Saccharomyces cerevisiae S288C: one gene and its partners. Changing the gene in region 1 together with any one later gene gives a genetic interaction. Each region holds a gene or a part of one and is shown on either strand. Other genes may lie near its edges.

What was found.
Region 2: mutations in YIR016W (region 1) and KTD1 together harm fitness more than expected from each alone (negative genetic interaction), as found in Saccharomyces cerevisiae (2 studies listed by BioGRID).
Region 3: mutations in YIR016W (region 1) and JHD2 together harm fitness more than expected from each alone (negative genetic interaction), as found in Saccharomyces cerevisiae (2 studies listed by BioGRID).
Region 4: mutations in YIR016W (region 1) and ICT1 together harm fitness more than expected from each alone (negative genetic interaction), as found in Saccharomyces cerevisiae (2 studies listed by BioGRID).

The regions. Positions count from the first base shown.
Region 1 is NC_001141.2:380,873-388,794, reverse strand, and holds YIR016W (uncharacterized protein), read right to left. Parts: upstream 6,168-7,922; coding exon 5,370-6,167; downstream 1-5,369. Other genes in the region: YIR018C-A (uncharacterized protein), read left to right, coding at 3,094-3,231; YAP5 (Yap5p), read right to left, coding at 3,449-4,186; MET28 (Met28p), read left to right, coding at 4,676-5,239; ribonuclease P protein subunit RPR2, read right to left, coding at 6,413-6,847; VLD1 (Vld1p), read right to left, coding at 6,981-7,709.
Region 2 is NC_001133.9:181,345-188,938, reverse strand, and holds KTD1 (DUP240 family protein), read right to left. Parts: upstream 4,048-7,594; coding exon 3,343-4,047; downstream 1-3,342. Other genes in the region: DUP240 family protein MST28, read right to left, coding at 128-832; pheromone-regulated DUP240 family protein PRM9, read right to left, coding at 1,207-2,103; DFP2 (DUP240 family protein), read right to left, coding at 2,394-2,618; DUP240 family protein UIP3, read right to left, coding at 4,462-5,169.
Region 3 is NC_001142.9:643,804-648,073, forward strand, and holds JHD2 (histone demethylase), read right to left. Parts: upstream 2,688-4,270; coding exon 501-2,687; downstream 1-500. Other genes in the region: ILM1 (Ilm1p), read right to left, coding at 1-298; DMO1 (Dmo1p), read left to right, coding at 3,323-3,673; ATP2 (F1F0 ATP synthase subunit beta), read left to right, coding at 3,804-4,270. UniProt on the Saccharomyces cerevisiae protein: Histone demethylase that demethylates 'Lys-4' of histone H3, thereby playing a central role in histone code. Demethylates trimethylated H3 'Lys-4'.
Region 4 is NC_001144.5:336,952-345,473, forward strand, and holds ICT1 (lysophosphatidic acid acyltransferase ICT1), read right to left. Parts: upstream 3,978-8,522; coding exon 2,793-3,977; downstream 1-2,792. Other genes in the region: SCF ubiquitin ligase complex subunit HRT3, read right to left, coding at 1-314; CHA4 (Cha4p), read right to left, coding at 576-2,522; MIM2 (Mim2p), read left to right, coding at 4,374-4,637; ERG27 (3-keto-steroid reductase), read left to right, coding at 4,859-5,902; APC9 (anaphase promoting complex subunit 9), read right to left, coding at 6,019-6,816; DNA replication initiation factor CDC45, read right to left, coding at 7,038-8,522. UniProt on the Saccharomyces cerevisiae protein: Lysophosphatidic acid acyltransferase involved in membrane remodeling leading to increased organic solvent tolerance. Involved in resistance to azoles and copper.

The DNA of each region.
Region 1 (7,922 bases):
CACCGAGACTTACGATTTTGGCGGGCCAACCTTAAAAAAAAGCTAAAAAAGTTAAATTTTGACATGAAGTCTCGTTAGAAATTCTTGAGGACGATGTAGATTTCCACGATTGATCCTCTCTTCAGGGCCGATTGTCTTCGCTCAGAAAATTCCGGAGTAGAAAAAACAACGTTGCCTGTTCTGATTGACCAAGGCTTCTGTACGAAAAGGGGTCTTCCTTTTTCGTACAGAAGATATTACTAATTTCGGTCCGAAATTCTAGTGCTCTTCGGACTGTATTCACGAAAAAAAGCCTCTTTTTTCTGAGAATGAACAGAAAAAAGGATGCGGCAAGATCCGGTAAGAAAGAGGTAGTTCCCCGCGTGCACTAACTACCCCGGTATATTTTGCTTATGTAAGCATATTTAGATAATAAATAGATATAGAAGAAAAAAGGGGCCCGCCTTTTTATCTTAGAAGATCACAGAGTTCTTAGCAGTTGATTTTCACAGTATGGGGTCAAATTTCACATCAAAAATACCTTAAAGGGGAAATAATTCGAAACATCTTTCCTTCCTTTGTAATGCAGATGACATGAAGTAATCGGAAGAAACTTTAATTGTCATGCCACTCTCTCACTGTCCTTCTAACGCTACAGTAGCGTTGATCTCTATGTTACAGGCTCTAATTAATTTTTTATTAATGTTTTATTTTTATTGTTGCGATGGCAATGAGTACACGTCCTAATAAGAAATAAGGTTAGAGCCTGAAATTCGTAAGGACATTAGAAAAAAAAAATAATAAAGGAAAAAAAAGAAATGTCCCCGATGTCCGAAATGGATCGTTATGCCGTATTACCGGTCCAGATTTACCTACTTCCCCTAAACGTATTACAATAAGTGCCGGGTCCTTCTTACTAGAGGTTAAAGAGGGTATCGCTGTCGGCGATTGATGGTACATATCTCTTATAACAGAATGGTTTGAAAAATCCGAAGGATGAAAATAACATACCATGTCAATTTTTATTGCGTAATTGCGAGATAGAATGTTGCCGATTGAAATCGACCACTCTCATACATTGGCAACTCAATATAGTACGCCAAGAATTGAGGAAGTTTCCTGAAATGACATACTTGATTTACACGGTTAAGAAAGAGTTTCCACTTTTCTAACCGCGTAAATCAAATGAGGGTACAGACCACAGTGACTTTCTATTTCCGGTATTTACAGCACTGACATATGTGAGGCTTATCGCAAAAACTGTTTACAGCTGCAGAGCAGCAAAGAAGTTGACACAAGGATACGAGCGAATTAGGGTGGGCGCTTATACTTAGTTTGAAACACAGAGGGAGGATACTGACCTAAAATGGAAAAACGTACACCCGTTGATCAGGATTATCTGTAATGAAAAACACAGGACTAAGTCGAATAGCTTTTTTCAGATGAGTCTCGCCGTTAAAATTGCCAGTGTAACGTAAACAAGAGACTGTTTCAGATTGAGAAAATTTTCTTTTCTTTTCTTTTCTTTTCCGAAGGCCTCCCACCATTGAACGTGATTATGACTTCCAATAATCAGAGGATGACTTAAAAACCCCTTGATAAGATCTATTATTTTCGCGATATGCCAAAGACAACCGCCCTTCTTTTTTTTTTTTTTTTTTTTTTTTTTTTTGTTGGGAAAACTTCGTGTAAAAGGGTTAGGCTGAGATTTATCTAGAGACGCTAGCCTTCGAAATTCTCCATTTACTTTGAAGCATTGCCATCGCACTAGATGACCTTGTTTATTCTGAGGTGCCAAGAGTTAAAATTTCTTCGAGGTCTCCTTTTCAACGTTAGGTCTACGTAATGGACGAAGAAAGTGTCAAGAAGCTAATAACCCTCCGCAGTTCGTTGCCACATTCAATAAAGGAAATTCCGTTCCTATTGAAACAAAAAGCTCTTGGTACGCGCGCAGAGAGTCTGGATCGAACCTGACGGAGATATATGTCAGATCGACGTGACATGTAACATTAGAAATCTGCGTAGCGTTATTGATAGATCTCATTCTAGGCCTTCCACGAACCTTCCGGGCGGAGAATAATATCCGCAGAACATGATGCTAAAAGCCAGCTAGCGAGAAAAGAGGCAACAATAGAAAAAATGCGCGCGCCCTTCTAAACTACGTCAGCGCTATACGTAACTAGGGAGCCCAGAGAAACGCCTATAAGATTTCGTGGTAGCCACCGATCTGTCATTCGAGATCTCTGACGCTCTTCTGAAACATTCTCCTTTTTATCTACAGAAAACTCAAAGGGTCCTCCACTTGTATAGTTTCACAGTTTAACTTCAGCACCGTGTTATATCCTTTGCATAACGCAACGCAATTGTGACAGCCTCTCGTTCAGACCCTACTTTAACAAGCTCGCTAAAAAGGAAGCGCAAGAGTTTGTAATTTGCCTCTTGCGTCTGCTTTATTCTATTCGCAGTTTGATCGCACTAAAATATAGCTCCGAGAGTATGTATGGAGGTCTGTTAAAGAGATTGTTCTGGCCTGAGTTTTAATTCATCAAGGTTAGATACGGAGGACTGAACTCTCCACGAATAACCAGCCTTTCTTTATATCTATTTTGGAGAAAAGTCGTACTGTCATCAGTTCGAGGATGGTTGCTGCGCTTTATGATTCATCTACCTGTTCCAGACTGCTCACCAAATCCTCGTTTTTCAGTTTGTCACTACGGTAGTGTTCGTACAGCCGTAAAGGAGACCAGTATGGAAGGAGATTTGCTTGCGCCAAAGCTTCTTTTGCGTAACGTCTAACTACAGCTAGATTCTCAAAAATTCGTGTTCAACTCAGAAGAGGAAAGCAATTTAAAAATGAAATTTGCGGGGATCCCATTATCTCTATTGTTTAGCACATTAGGATCTCATCCGCCAATACTAGAATTTGACACGACTTTCAAAAGGAAAGATCTAAATTATGGTATCATGTTAATAATCAGTACGCATATTCGCATTTAGATTTAAATGGTTTGCGTCCAGTTTTTCTTATGTACGATCTATTTTACGTTATAATAACGGTTCTACCATTACATTTACATAGTAGACAGGCTGCCACTCCTCTGCGTCAAAAATAATATGCCTAGTGATTATACTTCCCATTACCCAGTAATACTTATCAAAAAAAAAAAAAAAAAAATTGCAGGAATGTATAGGCATAGTAAGCGGTACCTTGAGATAATGTCCACCGCTTCAGCTCAATTCGTCGGAAACTAACGTCTCAAAATATGGCGGCGAGAACACCAAAGGCGGGGTGTCCAAAACGCTTTTGCACTCTGCGGCCAATGTCCATGAACTAATTCTTTACACATAACCACAGTAATAAACTTGCAAAGAAAAAAGCAATGTCACTCCTTTCATGTGCGTTCTTTTGACGTTACAAAAGTTGAGCTGTTCAATGACGTATTTATAAGTATTAAGAAGTTCTCTCTCTTCAGTGGATGATGGACCGGATGTCGATACATGATTTGTCGATATTAGTACAATTACTACAGAGCCCATTGGGGTTATCTTTATTATTGCACTCTGCATGTGGCATCGACATATCCTTCTGTTCTGTGGCCACACCGTCGTCACTTTTACGGTGATCTGTTTCCAGTTCTTTACAAACGCAAGTAGTGTTGTCGTTACAAAAGCCGCATTTGACAGAGCTAGGCAGTTCTGTCGAGTGCTGGTGGCGCTTGATAGCGGTATTGTACTTAATAGGTATCGCCTTCATTGGTTTGAAATTCTCGATCAAATTCTGCAGGATAGGGTCCTGAGCAGGCACAGAGGCTTGTTTCAGAGTAAGGGTCTCCAATTTCTGTTTAAGGGCATGATTTTCCGATTCTTTCGCTTGAAGTTCATTTTGGAGGCGGTTTAGTTTCGTTTCGTAGTTTTTAACGACCTTACTCAGTGACTCTATGGTTTCCTCCAGCACTTGCAACTTGTTGTTTTTGCGTTCTCTGTAGGCCCTTTGGGCGTCTCTATTCTGCCGTTTTTTCTTCTGTAGCTCCTCATCATTTTCTTCAGTTTCGTAATCTTCGTGAAGTCGATGAACTCTTTTCCTCCGCTGAGCTGCTCTATGGGGCAACCTTGGAGGCAGTTTCCAATTTTTGGACACGTGGATCTTGGACAAAAGAGCGAGGTGGCTTTCCTCAGACTCCTTAGGTTTTATCAGAGGTAGAGCCATGACTGTGATAATATGCTAGTTACACTGTTTATGTTGTGTGAACTTGTTGTAATATGGTTAACTTCACTTTCAGTGATTGATATGATAGCGACATCACTGCCGTGCAAAAAGACCATTCCATTACTGCACCTTTTTGTCCTTTTCCGTGGAATAAAAGTTCACTCGTCAGTTCCATGCATTCTGGAAAAAAATGATCTGAAAGATGCCACAGTTGTGGGGCCCGCCCGGCCCAATAGGTAAACTAAAATACAATAGAAGGGGTACTGAGTGCACGTGACTTATTTTTTTTTTTTGGTTTTAGGTTTCGCTTTTTTCACCTTTTTCTACTTTCTAACACCACAGTTTTGGGCGGGAAGCGGAAACGCCATAGTTGTAGGTCACTGGCGTGAGTCAAGGCCGGGCAGCCAATGACTAAGAACACGAGGTAACTTGAATTTAACTATTTATAACCAGTGGTAGTTACGAAGACAAATTGTTTTGTTCGTCAATATGAGTGCGAAACAAGGGTGGGAAAAGAAATCAACAAACATTGACATTGCAAGCAGGAAGGGTATGAACGTGAACAATCTTTCGGAACATCTACAGAACCTGATATCAAGCGATTCAGAGCTGGGCTCGCGCTTGCTATCATTGCTGCTGGTTAGCAGTGGCAACGCGGAGGAGCTCATTAGCATGATAAATAATGGCCAGGATGTCTCGCAGTTTAAGAAGCTCCGCGAGCCGAGAAAGGGGAAGGTTGCCGCAACAACAGCAGTTGTTGTAAAAGAAGAGGAAGCTCCCGTGAGCACTTCTAACGAACTGGATAAGATTAAGCAAGAGCGGAGAAGAAAGAACACAGAGGCGTCGCAGCGGTTCCGCATTCGCAAGAAACAAAAGAATTTTGAGAACATGAATAAGCTGCAGAACTTAAACACGCAAATCAACAAACTTCGCGATCGTATAGAGCAATTGAACAAGGAAAATGAGTTTTGGAAAGCAAAGCTCAATGACATTAACGAGATTAAGTCTTTGAAATTGTTGAATGACATTAAGAGACGGAACATGGGCAGGTAGCCCGCGAAACGTGCGGGCCTGATGTCTTGTTTTTCCTCTCCAACTTCGATTTTTCGATTTTTCCGTTTCTTTACCTAGCATATATATACACACATCTATCTACATATAAATATATATATATGTATATTTATTATTTATAGCATTGCGCGTGAGACAAAAGCGAGATCTTTTCGTCCCACTCCGCATTGATCAAGGACCGTTTATATTCCACAGACTCTATCTCGCTGGGAGAGCACCATCCTATAGTACGAAAGTTTGTAATAACTCGAGCGTACTGAGCGTCTTCCAGTTGTTGTTGGCGGCGTAAAGACTGCGCGGCTGCAGATGTGACGATAAATCTCTCGGAATCTGGGCGGCTAGCGGGACATACTGAATGCGTATGTTTGTCTCTGGGCATACTGTTCCTTCGAAAGAAAATACTCGAGGCTTTGGCAAGAAAACTGAGTTTTTCTTGTTCTGCCGGAACGCTAAGGCTTCCAGTTATGTCTTCGCGGCCAGATTTTCCTTGGTGTAAGATTGCAGATATTGCGCTCACAGAACTACGGTGCCGCCGACTTTGAACGCGCGGGCTGGACGATGATGACGATGACATATCTAGAGCCTTGGATAGGTCTCGCGACATGGAACTGTCGTCGTCGTCTTCATCATCGTCGTCGTCGTCGTTCCTTGAGGCGTCTTCGACTAATGACGGAGCATGGATGGCGCCTGCGCCATCTCGCGATAGTGTCATGTACTTGTGAAAAGCCGCCGAATCGTCATCCACATCATCATGTGGACCGAGCAACGAGGGCAGCAGACCATCTATAGAACTTCCTCGCGAACACGGTCCTGGCTCTACACCTGGTCCTTGTTCATCATGAGTCAAAGTTTCCGTAGCAGTCACATCAACTGGTAGTCCGACGCCTAGCAAACACCTCGTGCCACTCATTACCGACCACAACACCTCCTTGCGGTGTTTATCCGCTATGCTGGCAAGACGGAATCCTACATTACCTTCTTCAAACGGGCGTCTCGTTTTTTTCCCTGTGTTTTATGTCGTAGTTTTCCCTCAAAATACAGGCACGTACCCCATGTATAGGGGCAAGGGGGTGGGGGGTCGGCTCTTAAAGAAAATCTGGAAACTCCGCATTTTTGTCCTGCTCAAAACATTGGTCCAAAACCCTACCAATAACCCTAAGAATTTAGTAGATTACCCTCCCGCTCCGAGTAGGTCCTGTAATTAGGATCGGCGCCAATATTAAAACGTTTAACGGTACCGCACCCACACATTACCGAAAGCGCTCCGTCGGATGTGATTTCCAGTTTTTTTGGGGTCCATAACAACCGATGGCATTTTTTACAAATTGTTCTCTTTATCGTAGGAAGCAGTGATGTCTTGGTTTTCTTACTAATTAGGTCCATTGATTTGATATAATTGCGTGCCAAAGGCGTATGTGCGTCTGTTCTTGCTTTCTGTCTTGCTCTTGTTTGGTAAGCGGATATTTGGTAGAGGTAGTTTAATCTATGGAAATGGTCCTGGTTCGCAATCGTCCTTGGTGGCGGTACTAGCAGAGTACCATTTTCGTCGATCTCAGGTTTCATCTTTCCTCCGTGTGCTTTCTTGCCCATCTTTTTGCTTGTCTTTTCTCTGTCGGCGATGTGGGAAGGACAGTAGAAGAACCACGTATTGTTTTATTTTCTGTTCATCTTTTTTTTCCGTTCTTTTCATTTTGGTAATTTTTTTTCTTTTCCTTTCTTGAATTTATTCGGCGATATTCAGTAGAGGAGTGATCTCTGTAGCGTCATCCCCGTCTGCCTGTTGAGGAATCGACTTGTCATGATTCTTGAGTACTATGAGTTCCGGTCCGGTTGCATCCATGTGCCAGGTATTAAGTTTGAGAATGTTGAGTGCGCCCTCTTCTTCTGCATTCAACTCCTTGACAATAAGTTTCACGTTCTGAAGACTCGAGCTCAGTGAGCCGTTTATTATTACAATCTGGCAGAAAAGTAATAAAATATCGAGTAGTACCAGAAGTAGCTTGCTAGGAAACGCTGTGGGTACCGGACAAGTAAATTCCCTTATCAAAAGCATTATCACAAATCCGTACGGTTTGGAACATATGTCTCTCGATACGTCTAGCCTAATGTGGTATACTATACAGTACGCTGTTTCTAGAAGTATTAGGCCTTGGTAATATCGTATGGCTTTGTTTATTATCATTCTTACAATAGGTGTTTCTAACCCTCTGATGGCAAGACTTTCATCATCTTCCTGATCATTGTCGCGGCCCACCTCTAAATAGTTCTTCTTCAGGTACCTGAGTGTCAATTCCTGAATGAAATCACAGAGCGATGAAATTATCCACCCCAGGAGGATCAAGAATAATGATCCATCTTTGATAAACCTCAAGTACAGGCAGCAATAAACGAATTTCTGCAAATTCGCTATCACTGACCTTTGTCGTCCATTGTCATCTTCCAAATGCAACATTTCCTTCCGATGCCCTGCTCCTTTCCCTTTCTGTATTAGCTTGTCATCTAAGCCTTCGTCATTGAAGTATCCCTTCCCTTTCTTTCCCTGGAGAAAAGCCATATGAGAAGTTTATATTACCCGGTTTAAAGTTTGTTTTTTTTTTTTTTTCTACCACTAGAATGCTCTCTATAGTACCCATGATGCATTAGTTGAACACTAGCAGGTCAGGTT
Region 2 (7,594 bases), on another chromosome or scaffold:
GTTCAGCAAATGGGTCCAACACGAATCGACTTTTCGAGGCTTCCTTCGGCCGTTTTCCGGCCAGTTAGTGCTGATTATATATCATACTCTAGTTTATGTTCGCTTTACGTATGGTAGTGTCTCTAAGCTATTCCGTCTTTTTAAGAAGCGCATCGATATTGGGATGCCGCCTTCGCCAGTAATTTTCCTGAGCTTGTCGTTCGATCTCCGCTGCCTTGAGCAAAAAGTTTTGATAATTCAGTCTGGAACTAGGAGAAGCTGACTCGATGGCATCTTCAGGCTTAGCGGTGACCGGAGAATTGCCAATTGACGTGGCTGTTTGCTTCTTGGGGGTTACTCCCTCAACAAGGCGTAGAAAATAACGGTAGCAATCCTCATCGCTGTAAAAGTAATACGGAGTATGCCATTGCCCATGATTAAACAAATATTGGTTCATGTTGTATGTGATGATCCTCCATTCTTTCCCTTCTACCGCCGGTTTACGTGTGATGACATCCACTAAAAGCTCGGTCCTAAAATTTCGACGACTGACTAGCTTTGGATTACCATCACTTAATATTATTAACAAACCTACAAGAGAAGTAAAAGCAAATATTGCAGAATTGAAAACACAAGCTTCGTTGTCATTAAAAAATATAATTAATAAAACCAAAACCCCTATTACCAGGGACAAAATCATGACTGGTGTATAGCGAGCGATTTCATAGATCCAATAACTCAAGTACGAACGGAATATGTCCTTAGGAAGAGCCACATTTTTCTCAATTAAATGTGCACTAGGTTCGTTAAGTGTATCTAACTTGACGTCGGTACTTTCTGGAGGGGTCTGCATAGCCAATATATACCTTGTATTGCCTATGACTATAGTATTCCTGGTTGTTTCTGTGCCACTGCATACTGATCAAATGTTTCAATTACGCAGGACCCTTTTACGATTGTTTTTCATCTCTAGAGGCATTTTCAACATCGTATTTTCCGAAGCGTTGCATAATGAAAATGTGATAATAAGGCAGTGAGCTACTTTGTCACAACAAAGTACGAGAACAGATGAGGTTCCGTGGTGTTTTTGGGGCAACCGCACTATTTGGAGCGCTGTATATATTTATATCCTACTACAAAAAATCATAAATGACACTGAATTGGACACATGCTAGCGTCAAATACCTTGCCTGGTAAAGTTGTGTGCTAGTGTCTCCCGTCTTCTGTCTAAAAAAACTCATCGACACCAGGATACTCTTGTCGCCAATATTCCTTTTGAAATTGTTGTTCGATTTCGGCTGCCTTGGTGAGGAGCTTTATAAAGTTCGGTCCGGCACTAAAACTAGAAGACTCAGCGGCTTCGTTTGGTGTGCCAGCGGTTTCGTCATTTGATTGTGCGTCTTTAACATTGCTGGCTGACGATTCCTTTTGCTTCTTGAAAGTTCTTCCCTTAATAAGACTTAGAAAATAACGGTGGCAATCTTCATCACGGTAAAAGTAGTAGGGAGTATCCCATAGCCCATGATCAAATAAATACTGGTTCATCTTGTATGTAATTGTCCTCCATTCTTTCCCCTTTACCGCCGGTTTACGTGTGATAATTTCCATCAGAAGCTTAACTTTAAATTCCCGATCACCGATCGGTTCACTAAATGCAATTACAACCATGCATGTTCCTGGAAAGCAAAAGGAAAACAATAGTATCTCAAAGGCAACGCAAAATTCCGTATTATAAAAAAACACTAATAATAAAATTGAAGTCACAATAAGTACGAGCAAAATTACTGCCGCTTTATGACGAGTAACTTCATATATCCAATAACTTAAGTACGAACCGAATATGTCCTTGGGAAGAGCCACATTTTTCTCAATTAAATATGCACTGGGTTCGTCGAGAAAATCCGACTTGGCGTCGGTACTTTCTGAAGATGTTTGCATGCCCAGTTTATATCTTGTCTTCTCTATAGCTCTGCTATGGTGTTGAAGGATGTTATGCGGATCAAAATAGCGATCTGTCTTATACCAATTGAAACTTTTCATCACCTGCTTTTTACTTCGGAGGCATTTTTCATTCAATACTAAGTTCCGGAATGATACAAAATAAAAATGGTATTGAGGCGACATAAGTTGTTAGCACAGCAAAGATGGTTGCGGGTTAAGTTTTCTGATCGTTCTGGGAGAGTATTTACGTTAAAAAATAGGAATCAATTAAGCATAATCATGCCGTTTTGTGTGCTACATATCTGTTTCCCACTATATAAAGTCACGTTAGAATGCAATTTATCTAATTTACTACCCCATTTTAGCGTCAGTGGATTGGTAAATCCCTTTGCTAGCAAGGTACTGTCAGAATATTTCTCCTTCCTTTCAAATAATTGCACCAATATCTTGCCAATACTTCACTTGAGATTGTTCTACAATATCCGCTGTCTTGGAAAGCAATTTTGAAAATCTTCTCCGGGATTTAATGTGAAAGATTCGCCAGCTTCAGTCTCCTGTACATTTTCCTCAGCGTTGCTTGTTGGCTTCTCGAAAGTTCTTCCCTCAATAAAACTTAGAAAAAGACGGTGGCAATCTTCTTCGCAATAAAAGTAGTAAGGAGTACTCCATATTTTATGGTCAAATAGATATTTATTCATCTTGTACGTGATAATGTTTCATTCCCCTTTCACCGAACGCTGGCGTGTGCTTACCTCTAACGAAAGCCTAATATTAGATGCTTTATTGTCGGTCTGTCCCGGAGATGAAAAAAGAGGATAGAAGGGACATGAGATGGTATACTCGGAAATTAGTCAGTGAAATCAAAATTACAGATGCCAGGAACATAATCATTATCGGCTTACAATGAGCCCCCTCGTAACACGTAAAGTGAATAACTTAAGTACGAATTGAACATGTCTTTGGGAAGGACCACATTTCCCTCAACTAAATTGGCACCATCTCCACTCAACACATCCAGTCTAATATTTTTATTTTGTGGTTGCGATTGCATACACGATTTGAGTACTAAATTTTTGACGAATGTAATACGGACCAAACAACAGCTTTTTTATTCACTAGTTATTCTTATAACTACAACACCAAACCCTTTTTGAGATCCTTTTTTTCTTTTTCTATTGTTTGGATTTTCTTGGCTGCATTATGCGAAGCGCAACAATAGAATGTGACAAAAACTGACAGAACCCTTATTAAACAAATATGAAAACCTCTAAAAAAACTTACAAATACGATAGTTGTAGGCCATGATGTTTGTACAGCTCGAATATATGATGCTCAATTCTGGCTTCGAGATGTTCTTGAATTCGATTCTTGTTCTCGTTTTAAAGAAAAGTAAGTATACTTGGTGAATAAAATGCTTCCGCTTCAAGGTAAATCAGCGTCAGGATATTGCTTTCTCCAGTATTCACTTTGAGCCTCCTTTTCTATTTGTGTTGCCTTCAAAACATATGCCATCAAAATAGGGTCTGATCTAATACTATAAAAGTTGTTTAGACCATTTGAAGTCTTCCCTGCTGAGACAGGTGATTGTGTATCCTCGGCACTATTCGATGAGGAATCCGAGTGCGAACCAGAATTCACTTCCTTGATAAGAGTGGTGAAGAACTCATGGCACTTCTTGCCGCTATAGAAATAGTACGGGGTATACCATAGTCTCTTCATGAATAGATATTGGTTCATATTATATGCGACAGTACCCCATTCCTTCCCCGCAGGCTTGCGTGCGATCACCTCCACTAAAAGCTTTATCATGAACTCCTGTTCAGTGATCGCTTTCCCGAATGTGAATGCTGCAACCACCATTAAAGCCATGGAGGCTACTATAAGGGACATCACTAAGATCACAGTGCACCCGTCGTTATCATGAAAAAGCACAATCAATGAGATCAAACTCACGATTATGATGATCATAAACATGATCGGTTTACAATGAGCAATTTCATAAAGTACATAACTCAGATGTGAACTGAATGTGTCTTCGGGAAGAGCTACATTCTCTTCGATTAAATGTGCACTGGGTTCGTCGAGAGTATCCATCTTTACGTCGGTATTTTCTGAAGGTGTTTGCATGGTCAATTGATATCTTGCCTTAATATGGCACTTATAGATGTTATCCTGATCAAAATAGCCAGCTGTTTTATGCTTTTTTAACGTTGTTCACCATTGTATTTATTATTTTTGAGGCATTTTTCACGTATTGTTGCAACGTCCCGAAGGGATTCGATGTGATCGAAAAGCGTCCCGGCTGATCTATTGTGATGACCAGCTATCTCACGTTGGCGAGCATCAAGCCGAGGATCATAAAGCAAAATATATAATAGCATTTGCATCTAAAGTAAACTACATAAAATTTGTTTCGAGCGTACATAACTTTTACACCCAGATGGACTGACACTTAATTGCGGGCTTCGTAATGTTCTTGAAGTTAATGATGCTCGTACATTTTATATTAGAATATACTAGATAAATACCAAAAATTCGGCCCTAAGGCAAATCAACCTCTGGGTATTGCTTTCTCCAATACTCAAATTCAGCTTCTTTGTGAATTTCCGCAGCTTTAATAAGGTAAGCTTCTAAAACTGGATCAGAACTAAAGATATAAGGTTTTACCATCTCATTTGAAACCTCTTTTGCTGGTGTGTTTGACTGCGTATTCTCTGCACCGTTCGTTGGTGAACTCAAATGTGCATTCGACCTTGTCTGTTTGATAAGGCTTTTGAAAAATTTATGGCACCTATGTTCACAAAAAAAGTAATACGGAGTATGCCATATCCCATGGTCAAACAGATACTGGTTCATATTATATGCGATTATTCTCCATTCCTTCCCCCCTACTGCTGGTTTACGTGTAATGACTTCTACTAAAAGCTTAATTATGAAACCCTTATTCAAGGTCTCAGACACGAAGGCAGTTATACCGATCAATAAAATGATAATAGAGAGGATAAGAGAAATCACTAAAAACACAAGGATACCTTTGATATCATGAAAAAACGTAATCAATAAAACCAAACACACAGGTATTAGGAACATAATCATTAGCGGTTTACAACGAGCGATTTCATTAAGTATATAACTCCAGTACGAATTGAATGTATCCTCTGGAAGAGCCACATTTTCCTCGATTAAATGTGCACTGGGTTCGTCGAGAGTATCCAACTTGACGTCGGTATTTTCTGAAGGGGTTTGCATGTTGAATTGATATCTTGTCTTGTGTAAGGTTATTATATGGTTTTGGAGGTTGTTATGCTGATTCGAATTACGACTTGATCATGATACTAATTGAGCTTTGACGAAATATTTTAGCAATTCAGAACCCCTTTCATATTCTTTTTTTTTTTCATTTTTAGAGGCGTTTTTTCACTGATAGGTACAGCCTCCGAAATAATATATAGTGAAGATATAATAATAATAGTGCGAGCCTTTTACAGGGCCATTATGATCATGAGTGAGATCCAGAAAAGCACATTGCATGGCAGTCGGATGTTGAGAATTGGGGGAATTTTGAGATAATTGTTGGGATTCCATTGTTGATAAAGGCTATAATATTAGGTATACAGAATATACTTGAAGGTTCTCCTCGAGGGTCTAGGAATCCCCATAATGGAGTCTATATTTCTATATACCAATCTTACGATTATTCCTCATTCCGTTTTATATGTTTCATTATCCTATTGCATTATCAATCCTTACACTTCAGCTTCCTCTAACTTCGATGACAGCTTTTCATACCTTATGCCATCATCTCTACACCGTATATGATAATATATTGATAATATAACTATTAGTTGATAGACGATAGTGGATTTTTATTCCAACAGAATTGCATTCCAACACATTGCCCCTAGCAATAATAGAAGTCCTACAATTATCAGATTTTTTAGCCAATTCTCAGCAACAAATCTAAATAGCAATTGCTCTTTTTAATTAATGGTTTACAGTTGTGATGCAACGCAATCCTTTTTCTTATAATTGGTTTACATATTTTATCACTGAAAATAATGTTGTATTACGGGCTCGAGTAATACCGGAGTGTCTTGACAATCCTAATATAAACAGTCTTAGGGAAGTAACCAGTTGTCAAAACAGTTTATCAGATTAATTCACGGAATGTTACTTATCTTATATATTATATAAAATATGAATCATACTAAGTGGTGGAAGCGCGGAATCTCGGATCTAAACTAATTGTTCAGGCATTTATACTTTGGGTAGTTCAGCTAGGGAAGGTCGGGTTTTGTCTCATGTTGTTCGTTTTGTTATAAGGTTGTTTCATATGTGTTTTATGAACGTTCAGGGTGACGTATTGTCATACTGACATATCTCATTTTGAGATACAACAAATAACATACAATTTTGGCAACTTGGCCGAGTGGTTAAGGCGAAAGATTAGAAATCTTTTGGGCTTTGCCCGCGCAGGTTCGAGTCCTGCAGTTGTCGTTATTTTTTTTTACTGATGATATTTCACCTCTTCAAAGCATACTCATCTTCAACTCGGATTCAACACGAGAAAGAATTATTTAAATCGGTACAAAGCAATACACTATTCAAAATCCTATCGTTTCCCAATTGTGTTGTGCGCGCGTTATTCTGCGATTCCGTGTAAGTGCATAGAGTAGGTTGTTGCAATAAAAAATGTCTCTAAATAGCAGGCCGACAGACATAACCAAATGATTTCCGTGAACAACCTCAAATTTTCAGGCTTTGAACGTGATTTTCCCAAACCCTGTAACTTGATGTGTAAATTTAAAATGGAATTGGCATGCCAGCTATCATCCCTTAGTGCTTTCAGTCCGAGAGTCTCCATATGTCTGACTTCACGACCTAATTGAACCGGCGCCCATTTCTGGGACATCAGCACTTGCGGTGCTGTTCCAAATAATATCTAAGGTAAGTTTAATGGCCCAGCCCGATCGTGAACGTTAAAGAAAGCATACGTCAAAATATTGGTACCTTATAAGAGTAAAAAAATGCTGTTTCATCTCGTTTGGTAGAGTATATATAAAAAGAGCGGTTTCTGAATTGTTGAAATTTGAACTGTTCAAGATTTACTTAGTAGTATGAACCTGCAGGGATCATCCAGAAACAAAATGCTGTAGCTTCTTCTCTGAATTGTATTTCTTTACAAAGAGCTTTGCTATTTTGCCTTGAAACAGCATATCTCATGGCGAGCGCTTCCATAGCGCTTGAAGCAGACCAAAGCAACATGCTGGAAGACCAGATTCCTAGACTATTCATGTACATCTCTACATAGTATGATCGACTTCGGGATTTTTTATTCCTTACTACGTGGTTTTTACGATGGCATGATCAAATTCTGTGAAGCTGTTTTGTCTGTCAGTGGGATCGTGCATTGTACTCAGTTAGAAGTGCGTTTGGAGCTTTGTAACATGGCACAAGTGAAGTGAAAGACGCCCTTTATAGAAAGGAGAGTTAGCTAATGTAGAAGTACAGCTGGTGATAAGAAAACGCTGATGCAGAATCAGGAAAGTGTTCTCGTTGTATTTTCCAAGTCTACTTGATTTTACAGTTAACGTAATATTCTTTATTATGTAGTGGTAAGAAATACTCAAACCGTAGGAAGCGGACTTGAGTTTGTTTTTATCTTCAGAGTATA
Region 3 (4,270 bases), on another chromosome or scaffold:
TCAAAATAAAAAAAATTAGTAATCTAACTGGCACAACAGATTGGAAGTATTTAACATTGTTTTCTAACAGGGGAATTAGATCATGAACACCGTTAAGAGTAAACAGAAGAGCGAAAAGACCCAATTGACCACTATAACGTGACAGTGTTAACTGCGGTAAATTCATCGCTTGCGTTAAGACTATGAAATATGTATTTTGCAAAATAGAATTAACGTTCTTTAAACAAAAGAAGGCGATCGTGAATAAAAATGCTACTCTGAAAAAAGCAATATTGGTGGAGTTCAAGGCTTGAGCCATTTTCTTAGAATTTATTCTTTACTTTTGCTGAATGCGATACTCTATTATGTTGTAAATTGTTACACTACCATTCAATTGTCTCTCTTTAAAGATTGATCGACATTATTTTCTTTACTTTTTTGGTGTTTTCGCGCTAAAAGTGGCGTGCTAAATGCCAAGTATTATTCTAAAAAATCATTACGCCATACACAAATATTGAAGACTATCTATCTAACTTAACACCAACTTGCTTTATTAAAGAGTCAATATCCTTCAAAGACTTAGTGAAATACAATTCATCGTCAATATAAGGTTCTTCACCGTCGCTATTGTTCAAGTTTTGTATTGATTTTAAGTAATCCTGCGTACACAGGATACTCACTTTACTGTCCGTCGTGGATAGTTCATTCCACTGCCTAATACTTAAATGGTTTTTCTTGTGTCTTTTATACGTTCTAATTGAATCATAGTTATTCTTTCGCAATACAAAGGCTATTGAACATATAGTCTTACATTGGGAACAAAATATATCGTATTCCTCATCTTCATCGTTTGGATCAGTATGCACCTCCAAAAGAGTTGTCCGTGGTACAATGGCCTGAATTTTCCGTATGCGTTTTAATTCAGTATTATAAAAGACGATCAATGAAGAGTAACATTGCCTAACAAAAGCATCATTGAACAATAGAGTATCTTTATTGTACTTGTCCAAAACATTGATCATTAAATCAAACATATCAAAAACACATGCTTTCTGAGTTAATTTATAATCCGTAATCGCACCAAATCCATATGGTAGCCAGAAATCTATAGTAAAATTGACAGCTTCATTAAAATTATAACCTGTATTAAAACCAGCATGGTAACATTTAGGAAACGTGATAATATATTCGTTGGGCTTTTGCACAGCTTTGTACACAGGAATACCTGATTTCTTGAAATTTGGATCGTACGGAGATATTAAAGTCACTAGCTGATGCAGTAGGTCTGGTTGTTTGATAAATAAGTCTGGTGACATATCATTTAATAGATCGTTGAATTTCGTACATCCCGATTCGGGAATGCTGTACCAGACCTTAGGGTCACCTTCATGTTGATAGTTAGCACTTAGGGTATACTGATCTTCCATATGCCAACAAAATGTGGAAAATAAGGAGCCTATGTAAATCCAAGGAATAGTCATGCCAGAAATATTTCTTTTAAATAACGGTAATAGCGAATTATGAGCCATAGGCAAGTTAGTTAAATTCATAGGATGATCGCAATATTTGAGGTAGTCTATCAATTCGTCCCCATTTATATTTTTGGGTATAAATTCTCTCGTCGGAAAGCCGGTAATTTGACCTGGCAATTCGTTATGTATGTCAGCACCGTATTTAACTGTCGTTAATGAACTGCGACGATTCTTGGTCACTAAGCTCCAAAACATCTCTTCCAACTCATCTATAGACAGTTTTCGTGCTGGTAATAACCTTGAATTTTGACGTTTACAATATTCTTGAAACTCTGGTAGAGAATAGTCATGCGTGTCCTGAGTGAATCCGTAATATCCGTTTCCGACGATACAAGTGTTACAAATCCAATCGCCAGAGGGAACACGTTCCAAAGGTGGTGATAAACAATATATATGGAATGGTTTGTCACATGAATCACATAAAATTGTTCTTTTTGGATCATTTGTCTTGCGACAAACAATACAAGCATCATCATCGTCCTCCTCAAAATCCGACCCAGAATTCGAATCTGGCCCAAGATCGAAATCGTCCTCGTCATCACTTAATAAGGATTTTGGATACTGGTCAGCATGCAGCGCCGTGTGCACGTTCTCGTTCAGTGAATGAAGAAATATGTAGTATGAGGCAATATATTTCTCAAAAATTTCCTTTAACAAGCCGATTGGTACGTTGAATTTTTTAGAAATGGTCCTCCATAGACTGATGTCGCCTCTTAATTGGGAAATATCTCTAAATTTCAATTTTCGCCTGAATGACTGTGTAGTGTCAGTAAGTGTCCGATTGTCTTTTATTAGTTCAGAGAAAACGTCATAAAAGTACACTTTTTTTTTTAGTATTTCCGATGCATGAGTAGAATCTGAATATTCTACAATCGTATAAGGTTCCCTAAGTATAAGTTTCGATGGATCCTTAACGGATCTTTTAAAATTATTTAACTGTTTCATAAAAAATAGCCTACACCTATTTTTCAGGTCTAGGTTCTCCAGATTTTGAATTCTTGGTTGAAAAGTAAAATTTTCCATATCAATAGAAAGTGGCGGGCAGAACCCGTTTGGTGGTACGACCTTGACCATACCATATCGTACACCAAGCCTTTTAATGTGGGGGTTAGAGAGATAATCGATCGGATTTTTGAATTCTTGTTCCGTTGGATACAGGGCAGGAATTTCCTCCATGATAGTGATACGTTTTTTGTGCAAGATGAGATTAGTTAATATGATCTAGAGGTAAAATTGACTAAGTAGTCAGATCTTATTCTACATTGAGCCTGCGTTGTCAACATGCACATCTCTGTCTCTTGGGATGATAATTTTTCAATGATGATTCCAGGGTTACTTTAACGTTACACAAAAGAAATTAATTAGTGCGGCTGTTTCTGTGAGCGGGGCAGTAAGTCCGAAGCCCTTGATATTAGCCCATACCCTACACATTTTACTCGTTTGCCCTACATCAGATAAAATACTGGCCCTAAGCCCTCCTAATCTCTTCTGGTTACACCTAGGGTAAAATATCTGCCTTTCTTTGCATTCAATGCGTTACTTCTATATCACGAGATGAGCATACGGATCGTGTATAATACTAAAAAGAAAGCTCCTGAAAGAGTTGTGACAAGCAAGACTGTATACTACTCCTTCTACGAAAGTTAGTTCGAGTTCTTGATGGCACTTGGCTATTCTATTTCTTGAACCTTTGAGAAAGAACAGAAGTAAAAGGCTGTGTATTCTGCTACATGAAATACAGTAGTAGTCACAGTACAAAAATACTCTAAACCAGTAATAAAGCCACATATATATGTATTTCCTTTCACGTGATGCGCTGGGATGTTATCATCTTATACGCAATTAGCCGCCCATATGCCACCCGGCGCACCGGGTCGCACACACACCCCCGTGATTCGCGATATATAGCGGCCAATCAACGGCGACCTCCAAGCGCGTGCCGGGTGGGCCCCTCGCCGGCCAAGCAGCGCAAGGATATTCCCATCTTCGAGCTCTTAGATACAACGCTTATAAAGAACGCACTTTTTGCATTAACCTCTTTTTTGTATTACAGAACAAACATTTTAACTTGCCCTTTTTTAAACTTTCTTTATCTCTCCAGGACAGGCCAATTGGATAAATTTTGCAAAGATCAAACAGTAACACAAATTTTAGCAACCTAAACCCCCCTCATAAACGAAGACAAAAGTGCTCCTCCTCAAGTCAAATTTGTCTTTCTTTTCTTTCATTTTTTAGTCTGTTGTTATCCAATTTATACTGAATCTTTGAGAGAAAACAAAAATAAAAAAAAGAATGGTTTTGCCAAGACTATATACTGCTACATCCCGTGCTGCTTTTAAAGCAGCCAAACAATCCGCTCCGCTTCTATCCACTTCGTGGAAAAGATGTATGGCCTCAGCTGCTCAATCTACTCCAATCACCGGTAAAGTTACCGCTGTCATTGGTGCCATTGTTGACGTTCATTTTGAACAATCAGAGTTGCCCGCTATTTTGAACGCTTTAGAAATTAAAACACCTCAAGGTAAGTTGGTTTTGGAAGTTGCTCAACATTTGGGTGAAAACACTGTCAGAACCATTGCTATGGATGGTACCGAAGGTTTGGTCCGTGGTGAAAAGGTTCTTGACACTGGTGGCCCTATCTCCGTCCCAGTTGGGAGAGAAACTTTAGGGAGAATCATCAACGTTATCGGTGAACCTATTGATGAAAGAGGTCCAATTAAGTCCAAACTAAGAAAGCCAATTCACGCAGACCCTCCTAG
Region 4 (8,522 bases), on another chromosome or scaffold:
TCAGGCAAGATTTCCAGAATCCAGCAGGGTTGAAGTTCAGCATTTTCTTCAACAGATAAGTCATCTTTACCGGTTTCATTTTGTTCATCTGGAGCATCAGTAGTCATTGATAATCCCGATAGTTTTTTGTGCAGCATCCACTCATCAAGTATTTTTTTTCTGTACAGTGATTCCACATTATCATGGATTTTCAATGCACTTCGATAGAAGTTTATAGCATCTGACATTGACCCATCCTTCTCTTTCAGTACACCTTTTTCCCAAATAGCAATAGCCTCTTTAGCCCTAGGGTCCTTTTCATAATCTACTATCATTTGCTCCTTGAGTTTAGCTTATGGAACACATGTGTCGTCGCCAAAGATGATGGGGAATGTTTGCTTTTATCTTGCTCAGTCGATTTCGCTATCTAGGAACTACAATCCTTTTTTTTGTCATTTGGAAGGCTCTTTAAAATTCCGAATCGATAAGTTCGGAGGTGGGAAAGGATAGCGGTATATTCCTTCCCAAATAAAAAGGCTACAAACACATTACATAAAGAATATTTGTTCAAGTAAACATATCCTCTTCACTCAAGATTACTTCGACAAACCATCATTGGTGTTTCCACCAATCAGCATATCAATCTCATTCAATAAAGTAAAGTCAAAATTGTACTCTAAGGCAAAATCGTTACCGTGAGATAGAGTCCCTAATAAATCCATAGTTTCTGAATTATGCAAAGCATCTTCAGAGTTTTCTATGAATTTTCTAGCAAGTTCGTAATTCAGGGTAGGCGCACTTAAAAAATTTAAGAAGTCTTGTTTTCTATCCTTTTTAATCAAGTTGGACTTCATGCATTGGATGGCTAAAATCGCAGAATAAATCATGTAAATTGTGGCCTTCTCAAACGTCTTAAATTTATTTTTCCAAACTTTTAAAAGATAATACAGTTCATCAACATAACCTTCAACCAATTCCCGGCTTTGTTTGATTTCGTATATGAAAGGTTTATTATAGGAAATTAGCACGATATAGTAATGAAACCATACGTAAGCTATGGTTGGGTTAAAATCTGTCATTTCCATCAATGACCTCTTGGTCCATTGTAGTTCAGGGGGCAAATCCCTTCTCCAATTGTATACCTCCAGATTAAATTTGGCCAAGTATTCACTCCTTTGAAGTAGAGTTTCGTTTGGGCTGAAAATCTTGGATGCAAAAATCTCCGTTATTCTCGATAACACAATCAGTTTCTTCAAGGGGTTTGCAGTGGACAATATTACTTTTGGGTCATATATGTACTCCTCTATACCAGTCTCAATTTCAGGTAGCTCGTCTGTTTCTGGAACAGTGGAATTGGACAAACGCAAGGAAGTTGATCTTCCAAAGAGGATCGCTATTAAATGATCAGCAATGTAGCAGCCCCAATAAATTCTACTTCTCACTTCAAAATCCATTATTGACAGCTCGTCTTCATAAACATTACTCCATGCTTCTGGATTCAAATGTAGGCCGATTTCGTGGGCAATCCTAAATGCCAGCCCAGAAAGATACCAAGCCATGGGGTTTTCTCCGCTTCCAATGTCATAAAATGCCAAACACAATAGAGTCTGGATGATTGCTAATTTCGAAGAGGACGACGATTCAGCTAACGAAGAATCTTCCAGTTGAAAAATTTTTTTGAGTACTATCGTCTTGGCTCTTTGATAAAACACTTCAGATTGTTGAAAAAGCTCAGTTTCTGATTTGTATGAAATCAAAGATCCCAATGCAGCGATTGCAAATACCAATTCTTCGGAACAATAGTAACTTTTAGTGTTAGTATCACCGAAGAAAGCACTTAAGAAAGTTTCTCTATGAATGAAAAGGTAATGTCCCGGGTATAGCCATTTGAAAAAGAGTGACAACGATCTTAAGATAAGGGGACTTCTTGATAAATTTTTTAGGCTGACCTGCTGTTGCTGATATCTTGTGCTTCCATCCGTCTTCTTTTTTATTATAGACAAGGAATTTGATGGATATATACTATTTGTGCCAACTGGTGGAGGGCTCTCGGAAGGCATTTTCTTGGTGAACGCATCAGACTCATTCTCATCGTTGCTTTCAGATGATGGTAGTGCTGATTGTGCTGTTTCGCCATACTTTAAGATTTTTTCATTAGGAGCATCACCATGATCACTGTTGTTTTTTAACGAGGAGAGAGCATTGCTAGCAATTGTGGAAGACGAGGAACTTAATATTTGCAACTGTTCTTTCAAAGACCGAATCTGGCTCTGTAAAGCTTCTACGTAAGTCGTAGAATATCTTTTGTTCCTTAAGTCTTGTTGAGTGAATACACATTCGGTACGAAACTTGATACAGTTTGAACAAGGCTTTTCCATGTTACATTTCCTTCTTCTTCTACGGCAATTCTGGCATGCTAGTTTTCTCTTCCTGGGCACGTTGTTATTATTCTGGTCATTATCTGTCACAGATTTCTTTAAACTGGACGGAAGGGAGGGTGTTACCGTTGTTGTTAAAGGTGGAGGTGAAGGCTCCAACATCATTGCTGCGATTGTGTAGAGCTTCGAGTTTTAAAAGGGCTATTTTTGAAAACTTACGGCGATGTCAACTTGTTGATTTTGCTTTGTTTCGTTCGGGATGGATCGGAACATCCGCTCACATATGAGAGGTTTACACTCTTGATGTATATGTTGCTCTATCTTGTATACGGTTAAGTAAAGTGATGTATTATGTATATGTATGTATTTATATATATATATATATATATGCGTGGTTTTCCATATTGTATTTTTCTTCTCTACTCTATATAGGCATTACTTTGACAGGAACGAGACTAAAGAAGAGGCAAAGTGCTGCGGGTTGTCCAGGAAAAGATTATGGCCAGCATCAGGGACTTCAACGTAGCTAGCCTTTGCCTTGTTTTTTAGCATTGATTCAGTAGTCAAGTAGCCCGCATATTTATCCATCCAATCGTGCTCGCCATACATGAACATGACAGGCGTTGCTGGGTTCAAAAAACGAACGTTGTTTATTATCGGATCTCTAGCGATCAGATTCCTTTCAAACAAATGGGTGAACACCTTGATTGTCTGTGGTTGCACCGTCTGGTTCTTCCCGACAAATGAGTGCAAAAGATAGTCCTTATATATCTGATCCGGAACTTTTACGTATGCGGTGGAGATGTAGTTCGAGCACAATTTGGAGCCTATGGGTCCCATCCACTTCAAAACGTTTAGCTGGTTTTCAAAGATAAACCGCGGTACGTTCAGCTTTCTTGTATAATATCGGGACGATGGGTCGGTAAACGTAAGTGGATAGGTGGTGTTGGGCTCCCATTTGTGGGTGATAGCATGTATACTGTTTTCCACACCAAGAGGAGATATGAGACACAGTTTCTCAATGGAATCAGGGTACTTGAGGGCGTATTTGAATGAAATATATCCTCCGAATGAATGGCCCACCACGTTTATTTTGCGAAGCTTGTTATCCTTCCGCCATTGCTCTATCCTGTCTACGAAGTAGCTTTCGTACTGCTCCAGGTGTGACTTGATGTCCTCTGCTGGGGGGCGCTTCTCTATCACAGGGATTACTACGTCATCTTCTATATGCTTAAACCTGAGAGACTTGATCTTCTTGGTTTTGTTCACTTGCAATGCTGGCGCCTCTGAGGCACCATTGGCTGGCAAGTCGATGGCATATAGATCTTTAATGTTGTCTGACAGGTTCTCAAACGTCCTGTAGAACGCCATCGACGAGGCAGCGTATCCATGGATTAGTACTGTAGGCGTGCACACTTTGTTCGCACGCTTATTGTGGAAATGCCACTGGTTAATCCCGCCTGGAGTCATCGTGTTATTAACGGACCCACGCACAGTGGTGCTATCCATAATTTGCTGCTGCAGGGCCTTCAGGCCCTGCACGCTAGCACACACCTTGGCGTCTGCAGTAGTGGTCTCCTTCTCAGTTTTGCTGCACCATTTGAAAGTGTTTGTCCACATTCTACTGAAGAAAACTACGCTTACGTATGTATATGTCCTGAACAATGAGAGAAAGACCTGCGAATATACTTCTACTACTCCACGTACAAAAAAGAGCACGCTGCTTTATTTATACTTTTGTGCCACAAGAATGATCAACATCAACATAAATATCAACTAGTATCTGCAACACATCTGCTCCACGGAACTAAACCCGTTGAGCAGTGCCCCGTGGAAACGTAAACTATCGCAAATTGGGATTAACAAGCCAAAAACAGCCAAGCAAGATTCACGAAACCGCGCCTCGTTTGGACCCCGAAGGCCCATTTAACGGCCGGCCGTTACAAGCAAGATCGGCAGAGCAAACCACTCCCCAGCACCACAGCACATCACTGCACGAGCAACAATAACTAGAACATGGCAGATAGCGAGGATACCTCTGTGATCCTGCAGGGCATCGACACAATCAACAGCGTGGAGGGCCTGGAAGAAGATGGTTACCTCAGCGACGAGGACACGTCACTCAGCAACGAGCTCGCAGATGCACAGCGTCAATGGGAAGAGTCGCTGCAACAGTTGAACAAGCTGCTCAACTGGGTCCTGCTGCCCCTGCTGGGCAAGTATATAGGTAGGAGAATGGCCAAGACTCTATGGAGTAGGTTCATTGAACACTTTGTATAAGTGTTTGTTGTTTATGTATCCGCATATAGCAGTTATAACAGATAAATGGCACTTTTCGCACACCCGTTGTTTTATCTCCGATAGTACGTGGGCCTTTATTTATGGTCGTTTAACGAAAGAACGGCATCTTGAATTGAGCAGGTATTTAAAAGATAGGACGAGAAACAAGCACATGATCTGTGTCGAAAAAAAGTAGCAAAGAGAAAAAGTAGGAGGATAGGATGAACAGGAAAGTAGCTATCGTAACGGGTACTAATAGTAATCTTGGTCTGAACATTGTGTTCCGTCTGATTGAAACTGAGGACACCAATGTCAGATTGACCATTGTGGTGACTTCTAGAACGCTTCCTCGAGTGCAGGAGGTGATTAACCAGATTAAAGATTTTTACAACAAATCAGGCCGTGTAGAGGATTTGGAAATAGACTTTGATTATCTGTTGGTGGACTTCACCAACATGGTGAGTGTCTTGAACGCATATTACGACATCAACAAAAAGTACAGGGCGATAAACTACCTTTTCGTGAATGCTGCGCAAGGTATCTTTGACGGTATAGATTGGATCGGAGCGGTCAAGGAGGTTTTCACCAATCCATTGGAGGCAGTGACAAATCCGACATACAAGATACAACTGGTGGGCGTCAAGTCTAAAGATGACATGGGGCTTATTTTCCAGGCCAATGTGTTTGGTCCGTACTACTTTATCAGTAAAATTCTGCCTCAATTGACCAGGGGAAAGGCTTATATTGTTTGGATTTCGAGTATTATGTCCGATCCTAAGTATCTTTCGTTGAACGATATTGAACTACTAAAGACAAATGCCTCTTATGAGGGCTCCAAGCGTTTAGTTGATTTACTGCATTTGGCCACCTACAAAGACTTGAAAAAGCTGGGCATAAATCAGTATGTAGTTCAACCGGGCATATTTACAAGCCATTCCTTCTCCGAATATTTGAATTTTTTCACCTATTTCGGCATGCTATGCTTGTTCTATTTGGCCAGGCTGTTGGGGTCTCCATGGCACAATATTGATGGTTATAAAGCTGCCAATGCCCCAGTATACGTAACTAGATTGGCCAATCCAAACTTTGAGAAACAAGACGTAAAATACGGTTCTGCTACCTCTAGGGATGGTATGCCATATATCAAGACGCAGGAAATAGACCCTACTGGAATGTCTGATGTCTTCGCTTATATACAGAAGAAGAAACTGGAATGGGACGAGAAACTGAAAGATCAAATTGTTGAAACTAGAACCCCCATTTAATATATCTCTGCGTACATATGTATATATATATATGTGTGTATATACATGTATGTCTGTATAGAAAACGCATATCAACTGATATATATACACGTGAAGCAAAAAAGGCATTGCCTCTGTCAGAGAAACGAACTATCCTCGTTGCTATAGTGTCTTCTGCACTTATCGCGTAGACTTTCTATTGGCACTCTGTCATGGCATTTAATCTTGTACACATTCTTTAATTCTTCTTGCAAAAGAAGGTACTCTTCATGCAAATGATGACTTTGGAGTGAATTGACTAATCCTGAGTCGTTCCAGAAACTTTTTAAGGCGTTCGTTTCATGATTTATTATGTCATCCAACCGTCTCATATTAGGTTTCGAATTTGTTACAAATTCTCGCCTTGATAACCTCTCCAGGTCTTCTTTGTTGCATCCAGGTACACTCTCTAACAACATTGAACCATTGCCCTCCGGATTCGCACTGTCATATTTATTAGCCTCTTCGCCGCACATGATGTCAATATCGGGTCGATAGCTGTCTATGCCGTCTAGATGGCCCACCTTATGAAACACAAGACAATGTGCTGCCCTTTCGGCTTTCAAAAAACTGTCAATTCTACTTTCCCTTAGCGTATTGCGCTCACAAAACGGTGAATAATCGTATTGCTTTTCTTCCTCGATGTGGCTCAAAGTATTCAGATAGTCGACTTCGTCTACGTCCATATTTATCCCATAGAGATCATCTGCAGTCCTCTCCTCTAGTACTTCGCCTGTTATGGGCATCGAATCATCATTTATTACCCTTGTCGACCTTTTCCGTAGCGGTGTGGTAAAATTGTTAAAGTTGGCTTTGTTGAACCTTGGTGTTTTCCAGGGCGGCAATGACGGTAGTTGAAACAACTTGCCTTCGTTCTTATCACCATTTTGGTTCATCTTACTTTGTCACAGCTATTTCTTTCCTTCCTGAATTTGTCCTTCCAAACCTAGTTCCCTGTTCTTAATTTCCTTTTATTTAGGTTTTTTTTTTTGTTTTGTCAAGAGCCGCGCACAAAATATGGTATTATTATAGAAAAGTTGGACTTAAAAGCTTGAAAAAGCTTAGATTTTATATTCATATGCTGGTATATATGTACGACTAAATAATATAAATTTGATTATAACAATCCACTCAAGGTCAGCTTCTCCAGGAATGGTGAAAGATCTTCACGACGTATTTCAATTATGGAACTTTCAAAATTATCTATTCTCACTTTAGCATCCGTTTCTGCAGTTATTTGTTGAAACGCCATGCTGAAATTATTCAAAATAGGTTTTTTTGTGTGTATCGTGTCTAGTCCGCGAGGATACCTAGGTGTTAACCCAGCAACCAAGTAAGTGTCCGTATTTTCATCTATGCTGGCAAGCACCATGGGCAACAATTGCTTGTCTTCAGATTCCGCACAGCATTCTATGAGCCAATTTCCTAATCTTAATAACGTCAATGGGTTTCTGTACAAGTCTAAATCGGGTCCGTCTTGTAAGACGCATAATCTATAAATTCTTAAATGCTTGATTAATTTCTTCTCCAATATAGCAACCCCGGTATTAAAAATTGCTCTCTGTAAGTCTTGTGCTAGTTGAATGCCACGGTTTAATAGTTCCACCTTTCTGTCATCTAGAGCATCCCAACTGAGCCAAAAATTCGAAACCCATCTTTTTCTCAAATTCGTCAATTTTTGAGCGCTGTTATCTTCTTCTTCCTCTCCATCTGTATCGTCATTATTGTCATTATTTATTTTCACACTATCCTTATCAGTTGAATTACCTACTTCCAAAAGAGCTGTTAGTGCTTCGACAAATTCACTGGCACTTATGGACCCACGATATCCAAGAGTTCTAACAAACCCATCTCTAATTATATCTTGCAACCCATAACGATCCAAATTTTTGTCAAATATTATCCCAAGTTCTCTCTTAATAGAATGATCCATGTATAACCATGTTTCTTGTGCAGTACTTAATGGTATACCCATTCTAGCAAACATCTTATGCAATCTCTTTTTCCCATTTTCATTCCATAGGGATAGTTTGGCATTGACATAGTTAGAATAATAAAAACTGTCGTACAATGAAGAATGCCTCAGTAAGAAAAGGTAGTAATCCGGTTGGATGTTTAACGTCAATGTATCAGGGGTCTTTACTGAGTTTCTACTGCTTGGTGTGAGACGCTTCACTTCATCTTGCAATAAGGGGTATAATCGATTGTAAACTTGAGCATATGCTATATCTAACGAGGTCGTACCAAGTATATTCAACCACAGGTTTGAAAGATTTGTTTCTCCGATAGCAGACAATAATGAATAGATTTGTGCAGATATCGAGTTAACCACTGTTGTGCCTTGAGAATAGTATTCCTCCAAAACACCTTCATATTCATGGATTTGCTTCTTTCGTTGCTTTCTTTTTGAGAGATCATTCGGTCCTATTGAAGAATTACCTCTTTTATTAGATATTGTCTCATCTTCGTCTTCTTCGTCCTCGTCTGTGACTTCATCGGCATCAGTTGCCTCATCGTCACCCCCATTATTATCGTTCTCGTCACCTGAGAGCTCATCGTCACCACTCTCCTCGTCCAGTTCAAGCAATTTATAGTATGCTTC